3 linked regions of the Coturnix japonica genome follow. The protein of the gene in region 3 purifies or fractionates together with the protein of the main gene of each other region. This does not show direct contact. Links are inferred from orthologs where the notes say so. Each region holds a gene or a part of one and is shown on either strand. Other genes may lie near its edges.

Region 1 (4,176 bases), on a different chromosome or scaffold from region 3:
GAAAAGTCACAATAAAGACCAGAACACTTTGAAATGTGACATCTCTTCCCAGTGCCACACTTAAACTAAGCCGGGTTAATAAAATATTGACCATTATATTAATTACAGCACGTGGATGGTTCTCCTGGGCATTTCACTGATGTTATCACACCAACAATAGAAAGGCATTAAGGTAACTGCCAATTCACCCTTTCTCATTCTCTCCGCCTCGACTTCGTCCTGAAATACTTCTCTCACAGATTAGTTTCTTAATTAACATAGTGAAGATAAAGCAGTTTCTAAAGGTAAGATCCTTTCACTCCCCAGCCAGTTTTAATCACAGTATCCTAACAATGAGAAGCACCAGAAGTTCTTCAGTGTCTGTACATTTCAAGCATGAACCCCAGCACGGCCAGGTGAGCAGCCAGCAACTGCTGTACATTGAGTGGCCATAGGAACCCTGTAGTCAGGGATATCTTGAAGAAAGCAACAGGCATAAGCCTCCATTTCCCAACTGCTCTTTGAAAGGGCTGTGAGTGCAGCACAGCACAGCACAGCACCGAATGGCACAGCTGATCTCAGCAGCACCTCGGCCTCTGTCACCAAGCAGCAGGTCCCGTTCGGGGACGGAAAGCTCACAGCTCCACGTCACCCACAGCCAACGGGACACAAGTGACCTCCACCCGAGCTGGCAGCTGAGGCAGCAAGAGACGAGGCCTGGTTACAGATGTCAGCCTTAACGCTGCAAGCAGCCTCCACGTTACACATCACGCAGCGCACAGCGGGCAGTGCCCCCCAACCGCCCTGCGGCAGCGCCCGGTAAGCGGAGCTGGAGGCTCCCACAGGCCGCGCCACGTCCGGGCCCGGAGCGCAGCGTCACCCGGCGGGGCAGCACGGCCTGGAGCGGCCCGGGTCCATCGCGGAGCTGCGGAGCGATCCGACAGTGCTCGGGGACGAGGCCAGAGAACGGCAGCGGAGCCGCCGAGCGATGAGCGGCCTGGCCAGGCCCCGCGAGCTCTCCGACCCCGGTCCGGCCGGCAGCGGCCCCACGAGCGGCGGCTGAGCTCTGGGCACAGCCTTACCATGGCGGCGGCTCATGGCCGGGCACACCCTTACCATGGCGGCGGCGCTCGGCTCGGCGCTCGCTCCCTCGCGGCTCCGCGTCCCCTCGGGCAGCCCCACAAGATGGCGGCGCCGAGCCACGTCCCCAGCCGGAAGCGGCGCCGCGCACGACGCGAGGGGCGGGGCGGGGCGGGAGGACCCGGAGCGCGGCCCTGGGGGCGGCCCGCGTCAGTACCGGCCCCGGCCGGCAGGGGGCGACACCCACACGCGGCTGCGGGGCCGGGCCGCGGGCGCCGCTCTAGCCGGGAGAGGGAGAGCGAGACGGGGTCGCCATGGCGACGGAAGGCGGCGTCATGGCGGAGCGGCGGCCGGCCGAGGGGAGCGGGGACGGGCCGGGCCGCGCCATCGCCTCCCCGCGACCCTCCGCACAGCCTCGGCCCGTGGAGAACCAGCCGTACGACGAGAGCCTGGAGCTGCCGGACACCGAGGAGGCGGCGGGGAGCGAGAACCGGCCGCAGGGATCCCGCCGGCCGGGGCCGATCTGGTCGGGAGGAGGCGGCACGGGAGCGCGGCCCAGCGGGGCGGGAGAGCGCGGCAACGACCGGGAGGGAGGAGGAGGCAGCAGCAGCAGCAAGGTACGGGGGGAGAGGGGCGGTACGGCACGGGACGGTACGGCATGGTATGGTACGGTATGGTACGGTACGGTACGGTATGGCACGGTATGGTACGGTACGGTACGGTATGGTACGGTATGGTACGGTATGGTGCGGTATGGTACGGTATGGTACGGTATGGTACGGTATGGTGCGGTATGGTACGGTATGGTACGGTATGGCATGGTATGGTACAATACGGTATGATACGGAACGGTACTGCACGGTACGGTACGGTATGGCTCGGTACAGTACGGTACGATACGGTACGGTACGGTACAGTATGGCACGGTACGGTACAGCACGGTATGGTATGATACGGTACGATACAGTACAGTACGGTACGGCACGGCACGGTACGGTACAGTAAGTAAGGCCGCGTCCCTCCTGCCCTGAAGGAAACAGTGGCCAGGCTGGGACCCTCCACCGCCAGCGAGGACGACGATGATGACGATGATGATGATGATGATGACGATGATGAGGATTCCTCCGAGAGCGACTCTGAGGACTCGGAGGAGCGCGGGGCTTCACTGGAGGGGTGAGCAGCGGAGGGAGCCGGGAACCCGTGGCTTAAAAGGGTTGAACAGAGTTGTGCACGGACAGGAAGCCTCTTACAGTGAGAGTGTCCTGCTTCTGCTTTGGGGCACAGCTGGATCCATGTTCGTGCCTTTGTTCTTGTACAAAAACTGATAGGAAGTAATGTCTGCAAGAATTGCTTTTCCTCTCTTCAGTGACTACAACCTCGCAAACTATGACTACCTGCCGGTATCTCCTGAAATTAAAGAACTCTTTGAATACATAAGGAGGTGAGTTGAAGGAGCTTTCGCCTGCCCTGGGTTCTCCTTTGTCTCAAGGTCTTTGTCTCTGGCAGGAAATGTCAATTGCCCACTATGCAATCCTGTTGTTTTTCTCTCTCAAGATACACTCCGAAAACAATACAGATTGAGCACAAACTGCAGCCTTTTATTCCAGACTTCATTCCTGCTGTTGGAGACATTGATGCCTTCCTAAAGGTACAGTGTTTTCAGATATCCCCATACCTGCTGACACACAGGGTGAAACAGAAGGTGGTTTAGATATGAGCCTGGCAGACTGCAGCCACACTGACCTGGTGGTAGCGAGGTGCCCTTGCCCTGTGCTGCAGATACTGCTGTAGACACCTAGGAGATCACAAATAGCAACACTATGACCTGGCTGGTCACTTTGGTAACATCCCACATAGCACATATGTAATTTGGTGCAAGGGCTGCCTGTTTCTTTGTCCAACACCTTATGCATTTCAGGTACCGCTGTGTTAACAACTCGTATTTTCTGCTCTTTCAAAGCATCACGCTTACAAATTTCTTCTGAATTGAGTCTGAATTTCTAACAACAGGGAGAAGCTGTACAGAATAGTTCCAGCATCCCCTGCTACTCCCATAGAGGATTCCTTCTGTGTTTTACCTGCAGGTCCCACGCCCAGATGGCAAGCCTGATAACCTCGGTCTGCTGGTCTTAGATGAGCCATCAACAAAGCAGTCAGATCCCACAGTACTCTCTCTTTGGCTAACGGAGAATTCCAAACAGCACAACATTACAGTGAGTCATGGGGAGAGAGAAAACATTTACTGCACCCAGGCTAGAATGAAGACATTGCACTTTACTCTTTGTGGGACTATAGCAACACAACACAACTGATAACTTGGCTTTAAAAGCAGAAAAATAACCCTTTTTGACCTATAGCTTTAAACTGAAATGTATCTAAGCCCTGCCTCAGGCAAGTCTCAGTACAGACTTAGGAAAACCACCACAAAGTGCTTCCAGGTTTCTATTTTTGTTTCAGCAGCAGATAAAAGTGAAAAGTGTGGAGAATGCAGAGAAGAACCCCAAAGCCATTGACAACTGGATTGAAAACATCAGTGAACTGCACCGCTGCAAACCTCCTGCCACTGTCCACTACAGCCGGTGAGTCATTATGTCAGCAGAACATCAGGTCAGTGGGTGGCAAAGTCCAGGAGCACTGAGCAGGATGATCTCAGTGTCTCTGAGAGGAATAAGACGTGCTGAGTTTCAGGCCAGTTGTTCTAGCGTGTTTCTTTAGCCTTAGTGCTAAGACTGTCTGTCCCATTCACAGCAATGGCAGTAGGAAGCCATTTCAGCTTCTTGCCTGCAATCCTAATGTTTCTGTTTTTCTTTCTTCCTTTACAGGCCCATGCCTGACATAGAGACCCTCATGCAGGAGTGGTCACCAGAATTTGAGGAGCTCTTGGGAAAGGTATGGCATCCAAGTGTCAGGCACAGCATTACAAATTAAAAATGTTCAGGGCTCAGCATTAAAAATGATCCCACTTGAAATCTAGATTTCTCTTCCTCTTTGACCAGTTTGCTTGCACCCTGTTCAGTTCAGATTTGTTCTTCACTGAACATTTTGTTCTGATCAGACAATGGGAGCAGCCTAAAGTCTGAATGCCTGGCTGCTGCCCAGGTAGCCCCTGTTCTCAGT
Region 2 (3,649 bases), on a different chromosome or scaffold from region 3:
TCCCAGCATTTATTGCTAACAAATCATCATTTCTGAGTTCTATTTCCTTTGTTTCTTTTTGTTTTCTGCAGGTGTCTTAGTGGGGAATAAAACAGATCTGGTTGGTCGTCGAGTTGTGGAACAGAAACAAGCGCAGGAATGGGCTGACAAACACGGCCTGGAATACTGTGAGATGTCAGTAGTGAGTATCTGCTCTTTTCGCCTTCTATAGAAGTGGGAATTTGTGAAGTTATCTTCTCTTTCAGCTGAGGGTAAATGACTGGGGACTCATTTCCACTTATTTGTCCTTTAACTCACCCTCAGTTTTAGTCTCTTTTGTGAAGCTGTTTGAACAGAAATAGTGAAATGCTTAGTTATCTGTCATTTACAATTTTCTTTCTACAGAAGGAGATGAAAAATTTTGAGGCCCCTTTCAACATCCTGGCAAAGTCATTTTACCAGCTGTACAAAGAAAAAGTGGAAATCTTTCATTCACTGGCTTGAGGGCCATGACTGGGATGACTTATCTTCAGAGCTTCTTCTAGTGCCCAGAATCCTATGGACTGGAATACAGAGAGAGGAAAAAAGATGAGCTTTTTGCTTCTTCGCGGTCATCTTCTGGTAATTCAAAATAAACTAGAAATAAGTGAGTGGACAGACATTGTTTTGGAACTGCTACCTTAGCATCACCTTCATGTCTGTTACCTCGGTTCTTTGCTAACTGAAAGTCTGTTAGGTTGGAGAAGGCAGGGAATAGAAGGGGGAAGGCAGAATGGAAATTGCCAGCTTTTTGCCTTGTTAATAGTGCCTTGTCTCATGTCTGAACAAACTTTCTGCTGCTACAAGCAAGGATGTAGAGATTTGAAGGAGGAGATGGGAAGCTGGCAGGATACTTTTTTGCTTAAGCAACCCAGCACTGGTACATACATCGCAGGGCAGGACTGATTCAGCCCTACTACTTGCTAAGCATTTTCAGTTGAAAGTCTGTGGCCTAAAATGGACGCGTAGCGTCTCAGATGTGTGGGGATTGAATTGGATTTAGGTGTGTTTGTGGGAGCACCCACAATTTGAGACCTATTTTAACAGTGTTATTCTTATCAGTTCTAGGATTGATATAGTGATGACTAACATCTCTTTTTAATGACTAGAATTTGGTTTTCTTCAACGAGGCTCTTCCACTGCTGGTCTGTCTTGCATCTATACCACTGTCAATTGGTAACGCAGTGCCCTCTGCTGGCCCTCGGTCACAAAATTTCTGGAGCAGCTTGCTCTGTTGAAGCAAGGACTTCACACAGTCTTAGCCAAATTGGCTTATCTGTAAAATGGAGTCATATGGTGAGAATACCTCTTTTATTCCAGGGGCAAGTCTAAAACGGAAATTGCCATTTCTTCTTCATGCGCTTGTTATTTTATTTGGTTTTATTTCATTTTGTATCTTGTCAGCTGAACTTAGCAACATCATGTTCTCATTAGGCTTAGTTCTCAATCCCTTACTAGAATCAATCATCTTTGTTGTTAAACTTTCCCTGCTTATCCTTGCATTTCAAAGAACAAGCTATTCTGATTTCAGAAGTGGAAACAGGACTCAGGAAATAAAAGACAAACTGGCTAAGTGAATTTGATTCAGCCATGTATAGCTGGAAGTTTTGTATCAAAGGGTAAAGGCATGGACAGAACACTCTGTGTGAGATGTTGACATTGCATATATAAGAATTGCTAATATTTGCTAATGCAGTATGTGAAAACATCCAGTTAAGTACTGCCTTGCAGTTCTAAACTGTAACATTTCCCCTCTTCCAGAACTATTTTAGCCTCCCCTGGGTAAGGAAGGCTAATTTCTGAGGAGAATAAACAGTAAGTAGTTTTTCAGGCAAGCTTTTCAGGAATCTGTGTTTCAATATTTTTATACGTATATTTTATAACCACTTTTATGCCCAGTGCTAGGAATATGACTGCAGATGTTGTAGCAGAGTTTATGAAGCACTTCAAGAATCTGGAATAGCAGCTGGGCTCATTTTACTGGCAACACTATGTTGATGCTGGGAATTAGCTAGGGAGCATGAATACAGTCTAGAGGTTAAGCAGGCACTGAGCCTGCTGGAAAAGAAAATGAATAGGTTGTTGTTTTGTTTTGTTTTGTTTTTACAAATCCACTTGGAAAAAGGTGACAGAACTAGCTGGGGAAAGCTCTTATTTCAAGAAAAGGAGGACTCCTCTGTGGGCTTAGGGTCACTAGACACAACTCACCTTCTTTAGGCTTGGGTTGGCTTTAACTTACATGTGTTGCCTTGTTAATCCTGAGGGTGTGTGTTGATTTACAATAGACTGAATGGAAGTTTGCCTGCACATGCTTGTACCTCTTACTATTAGGAATAACAGTTATTTTGGATGTTGAGCTGATCTAAAGGAGGTAGTTCATTTTCCCCTGCTTCTACTGATGATATGATTGCAACACAAGACTTTTTTTTTTCATCTTGAAAATAGAATACCAGGTGTGTCTGCCACCTGTGATGTGATAGATGGGGGCAGGGAGGTGAATGCCTTAGGAATGGGTGATGAAATGAGTCCTGAACGATCACCTTTAACGGGTGAGTTTAATCTCTCTGCACCAGAAAGACCTCCCATAACTTCAAATAAACAGCTTAAATGCACCAGTAAGATTGGTGAACATTGTTTTATTAAATGAACACAAAAGCTGGAGGATCTCATTAAGGGAGTGCTGGTGGTGATTTGTGATTTATTGGGAAGCTGCTTTTGATAGGTTAGTGAAGAAAAATGCATCCTATGCAGGGGAAGATATATTGCCCAAGTGAGAAAATGTATGATCTAATTAGCTAGCAGTAGGGATTCATCTGGTGCCCCTTTCCTTCTTTCTGCAGGCCAAGACTTGAATTAGAGAAGAGGTTGTGTCAGAAGCACATAGCCCACCTTGCTCTTCATTTCAAGCACTAAAGTAGTCATAATTTAACATCCTTCAAAATACTGTGTTTGTTCATTACCATCTCCATCGTCTGAATGGATTTTGAAAGCATAATATATTGTCTTTTTTAGCTACTAGGCTGTGTAACAGTAGCGTGATGTGGGTGATACTATTTTCCTAGTTCATTTGTGACCGTAGTTATAGAGACCAATAGTGAAGGGTGAGTGGAGACCATGGGAGTCAGATACAAACAGGCTGTGGAAAAAATTTGTTTATGAAGTGAGGATGTTTGTTTGTTGCTTATAGCCTTTGTATCTCCCTGAATTACAGGTGCTGCGGGAGACAGTGGGAGAAAGGCAGAAATCATGTCTGCTGGCCATTGTTGTCTTCTTATAGCTCTCCTACTTTGTCTAGGTATGCAGTGCTGTAGGTGTTACAAGGATAGATAATGCCAGGACAAAAAGAAATGGTTTTAAGTTCAAGGAGGAAAGAATTAAGGTGGATGTCATGGGTAAGTTGTTTACCAAGAGAGTGGTGAGATGCTGGCAGAGGCTGCCCAGAGAGGTAGACGCTTTGTACCTGGAGGTGTTCATGACCAGGTTGGATGGGGCCTTGGGCATCCTGATCTATTATTAGATATGGAGGTTGGTAGCCCTGCATGCAGCAAGGGGGCTGGAGCTTGATGATCCTTGAGGTTCCTTCCAACCCAGACCATTCCATGATTCTGTGTGTTCAGCATGCGTGCTTAGA
Region 3 (3,649 bases):
TTCTTGCTCCAGTACTTGGGCTCTGTATCTCTGAACCACTAGCTGCCCTGGTAGGTACTGTGCAAGTGTAGTAGTTAATTAAATCCTAGTGAATAATGCAAGTTATTTAGCTGCAAACTGTATCCAATCCAGTTCTGTAATTACAAGGCACGGAGTTCCAGGTTTAAAAAGCCAGTGCATAATCAATAGATGCTTCAGGCAATCTTTCCTTATATTTCTCTTCCTGCTTGCAGTCCATGTGAACTTTAAATGCTGTTAATGTGTGTGGATATTCTAGGCAGTAGTGCTAATAAATTAACAGGAAAATATTAGAGCAATTGGCGTCTTGGGAATATCAATTTAGCACATACCTCAGCTGGTTTAGTTCTGGACCTGTCACTGAAATGACCTATTGTAGCTGAACAGCACGTAGCAATTACTGCTAGAGCTTCCGCAGAAGTTCTCTGTCCCCCTTACTCATCACAGTTCCTGGAGCACGAGCACACTGAATGTACTCATTTGTTTAAACAGTCTGAAATATCTCCACTTTCCCCTCCTTATTCCTGTAATGTGTTATGATGTTTGGGATACTTCCTGGATTTGGAAAAGGTAGATACAGCAGGACTCAGAGAAGGGTGAAGGCAATGGGATAGACTGACTTCTTTTTTTAAAGTGACTTTTTTGTGGGTGTTGGTTTCTTTTCTTTCTTTAAAAATGTTTGGAGAAAAAAGCAGGTATTCTAATTGGTAAATGTCCACACGGTTCATTATCCTGGCCACAGAAAAAAAATATTGTCATTGCTTTGCTGGTTTATCTTCTAGCTCATTGTTATAAAGTTATTTGAAAGAATGCAGTAAGAGATAATGCAGAAGCATTATCAGCATCTGAAAGATAATTCTACACCATCCTTCCCTTTTAGGAAGAGGTCCAAAAGACAAAGGACATGTTGAGTAATGTGGCTTTGGACGAAGCCAACTTGGAAGCCAAGATTGAAAAAAGGAAACTGGAGCTGGAAAGAAGCCAGAAGAGGCTGCAGACCCTACAGAGCGTTCGGTAAAGATTATAAACTGATTATTCATTTTCTATGTCAAATTTTCACAGGATAGGTTACTACTCCTTCCTGTTATGCTTTTAGTCTTGAAGTAGTGTGAAACTTTAAAAAGAGAAGGTCCTTTTAGATTGGTTTTGTAGACATGGAAAAACAGCTGTGAAAATGAAAACGTTGTTGCAGAATTCTTCACGTACAGATCTGTATTTCTCTGAGTAGTTTGTTCTTGTTGTCTCCAGTCCTGCTTTTATGGATGAATATGAGAAAATTGAAGAGCAGCTGCAGAAGCAATACACTACCTACCTAGAAAAATTCCATAACCTGACCTACCTGGAGCAGCTCTTGGACGATCAACATCGGACTGAGCAGGAGATGTTTGAGGTAAAGCAGCTTAGAAGTGCTCAGCAAGACTCTGTGCTCTGTAGGCCTTGGCCATATAGCAGAAAGTGCTGTAATACCTGTTAATTGTTGTAGAACCAGCTCAGAATGACTGGCAGTTCACTGATATAAAGTGACAGCTCTCAGACAAACATGATACACCTTTGCTTTTTCAGTTGGTGAAGTTAAACCAGTGTAATGATGCCTCTTTCCAGTCTCACTTTCCTTGATTCTTTCAAATGACATTTTTTGATCATAGAATCATAGAATGGCCTGGGTTGAAAGTGACCACGATGCTCGTCCGGTTTCAACCCCCCTGTTATATGCAGGGTCACCAACCATCGGGCTGGGCTTAATGTTTTCACATCTTGCTTTAATAATGCTCTTAGTTCTTCCCCATATCTTTGGCCAAAAAAAAATAAAAAATAAAAAGTCTATTAAATCCTAATCCAGAAATTACACCTAAAATCTGATTATTTTTTTCCCTTCTGTTCAAATGTCGTTGAGACTTAATACCAAAAGTAGAAATGTTTTGAATATGAGTACCTGGAACTGCTTATGAATTCATGTACAGAAGTTAGTAATGCCTTGGCTTACAGCTCTTGAGAGAGTTTTTATTAAGAGATAATAAGATGAGGGAAAAGCCTTTGTCATTCAGGAGTGTTTCTGTGATTAGAATCTGAAGAGTGCTTTTCTTCTACCTCTGCTTATTCCTTCTATGAGAAACCTAGAGAATCCACCCATATACTTTGGCTTTTCATCCATTATGATAAGCACTCGGCAATACTTCAGCATTGTCCAGAATTAAAGTGTGTAAAGGGCCATGACAAAAAGATGTGGATTTTGTGCCTACTTCTGTTACTTGTTATTTGTGGTATGTATTAGCAAGCATCAGAACTGGCAGCATCTTTAATTAACATGTGCTTGATGTTAAAATACCGTTTAGTCTTCTGCATTTGGAATGTTCTTCTGCACTGGGTTGTTTCTTACTATGATCTCAAGTGATAAAGTTACCTGTGCATCTTTAAATGCATTGTGTTGGCTGCAATCAGCATCGAGTTTTCCACTCACATCTAGACCTACAGCTATAAGGTCATGAAGCAGAACAGGGGGTGCCTTATTTCAAGCTTGAACATAAGCAGTTTGCTCCAAACGGATGCTGTCTTTGAGATTATCATCTGTGTCATTTTCAGAATCAACAGAGGAAGCATAACAAGGATAATTGGATTTAATCTGTTACAGTGTGCAGCCTCTTGAGCTGTTAAACACACTGGAAGTTGTGTTATTTTTTTTCTAGTTGTATTTGTCTTTTGTTCCACCAAACAAATCTTAATTATCTTCTGTAGTGGAAGCGCGAGTCAACTCTTCTATCATTGCCATGCGTTTTGTTAAACAGCTTGCTAGGAAAAAGCAAGGGCAATGTAATTAGATTAATCCAGCACTCTAGGTACTGTTCAGTACTGAGAACTGATTCCCGGACCCCTTTCTTTGACTCATTGAATGTTTTTGAGAAGAACTTGTATTCTGATTGAGAGGCCATTGCTGAATAATGAGACTAATCTTTAGTGCCCTTAGCCTCAAAGCTGTTTTGGTACCCTGCTGACGTTGCACAGCTAATGACATAGGCCAGAGTGCATTTCCTAATTAGAAAAGTGATTTAAAGATTGTACCCAAGCACACAGTTTTAATTAAGTGACATTGAGCAGCTGAAGCAGCATGGCCTTTCCAAACCACAGTGCTGGCTCTCTGTGTGGGTTTCTTTGGTTTGTTCTTTCAAGTGGTGAATGTATGGCTGCATGGAGAGCTGCACTCTGCAGTCCGTGCTGTTGTGGTGTTGAGCTTCATATAGTCATAGAATGGTTTGGGTTGGAAGGGACCCTTAAGATCATCTCATTCCAATCCCTAGGGGACACCTACCCCTGGACCAGGTTGCTCACAGCCCCATCCAGCCCAGATATTCCCATCCTTTTTCCCACCCAATGTCTGCAGTAACATGGAGCACTGCCTGGAGGAAAGCTGGCAGGTATCTCCTGCCAAGCACTGCACTGAGAAACATCCCCCAGTATTAGGAGAATCTTGAAGGCTTGCTATTGAATCTCAGCCAAATGAATTGGCAGAACTGAACAGTTAATTGATGATGAAATTACCACCTGCAGAGTACCTGCCTGTTTGATGTGGGAACACTTTGAAACATATGAGAAATCTGGAATTATTTGTCTGCCCTCCACTCTTGCTCATGGGCAC

The links.
Region 1: the proteins of CLUAP1 (region 3) and IFT46 purify together in Homo sapiens (affinity purification with mass spectrometry; 3 studies listed by BioGRID and IntAct, with this or other methods). This does not show direct contact. The link is inferred for Coturnix japonica from reciprocal best matches to the Homo sapiens genes CLUAP1 and IFT46.
Region 2: the proteins of CLUAP1 (region 3) and IFT27 purify together in Homo sapiens (affinity purification with mass spectrometry; 3 studies listed by BioGRID and IntAct, with this or other methods). This does not show direct contact. The link is inferred for Coturnix japonica from reciprocal best matches to the Homo sapiens genes CLUAP1 and IFT27.

The regions. Positions count from the first base shown.
Region 1 is NC_029539.1:4,769,382-4,773,557, forward strand, and holds the start of IFT46 (intraflagellar transport protein 46 homolog), read left to right. Parts: upstream 1-1,273; 5' UTR 1,274-1,373; coding exon 1,374-1,676; intron 1,677-2,092; coding exon 2,093-2,232; intron 2,233-2,425; coding exon 2,426-2,500; intron 2,501-2,613; coding exon 2,614-2,707; intron 2,708-3,143; coding exon 3,144-3,272; intron 3,273-3,516; coding exon 3,517-3,638; intron 3,639-3,881; coding exon 3,882-3,948; intron 3,949-4,176. Other genes in the region: ARCN1 (coatomer subunit delta), read right to left, coding at 1,062-1,064. UniProt on the Homo sapiens protein: Forms part of a complex involved in intraflagellar transport (IFT), the bi-directional movement of particles required for the assembly, maintenance and functioning of primary cilia. May play a role in chondrocyte maturation and skeletogenesis.
Region 2 is NC_029516.1:47,150,570-47,154,218, forward strand, and holds part of IFT27 (intraflagellar transport protein 27 homolog), read left to right. Parts: intron 1-71; coding exon 72-181; intron 182-384; coding exon 385-483; 3' UTR 484-3,649. UniProt on the Homo sapiens protein: Small GTPase-like component of the intraflagellar transport (IFT) complex B that promotes the exit of the BBSome complex from cilia via its interaction with ARL6. Not involved in entry of the BBSome complex into cilium. Prevents aggregation of GTP-free ARL6.
Region 3 is NC_029529.1:11,260,094-11,263,742, reverse strand, and holds part of CLUAP1 (clusterin-associated protein 1), read left to right. Parts: intron 1-898; coding exon 899-1,032; intron 1,033-1,266; coding exon 1,267-1,408; intron 1,409-3,649. UniProt on the Homo sapiens protein: Required for cilia biogenesis. Appears to function within the multiple intraflagellar transport complex B (IFT-B). Key regulator of hedgehog signaling.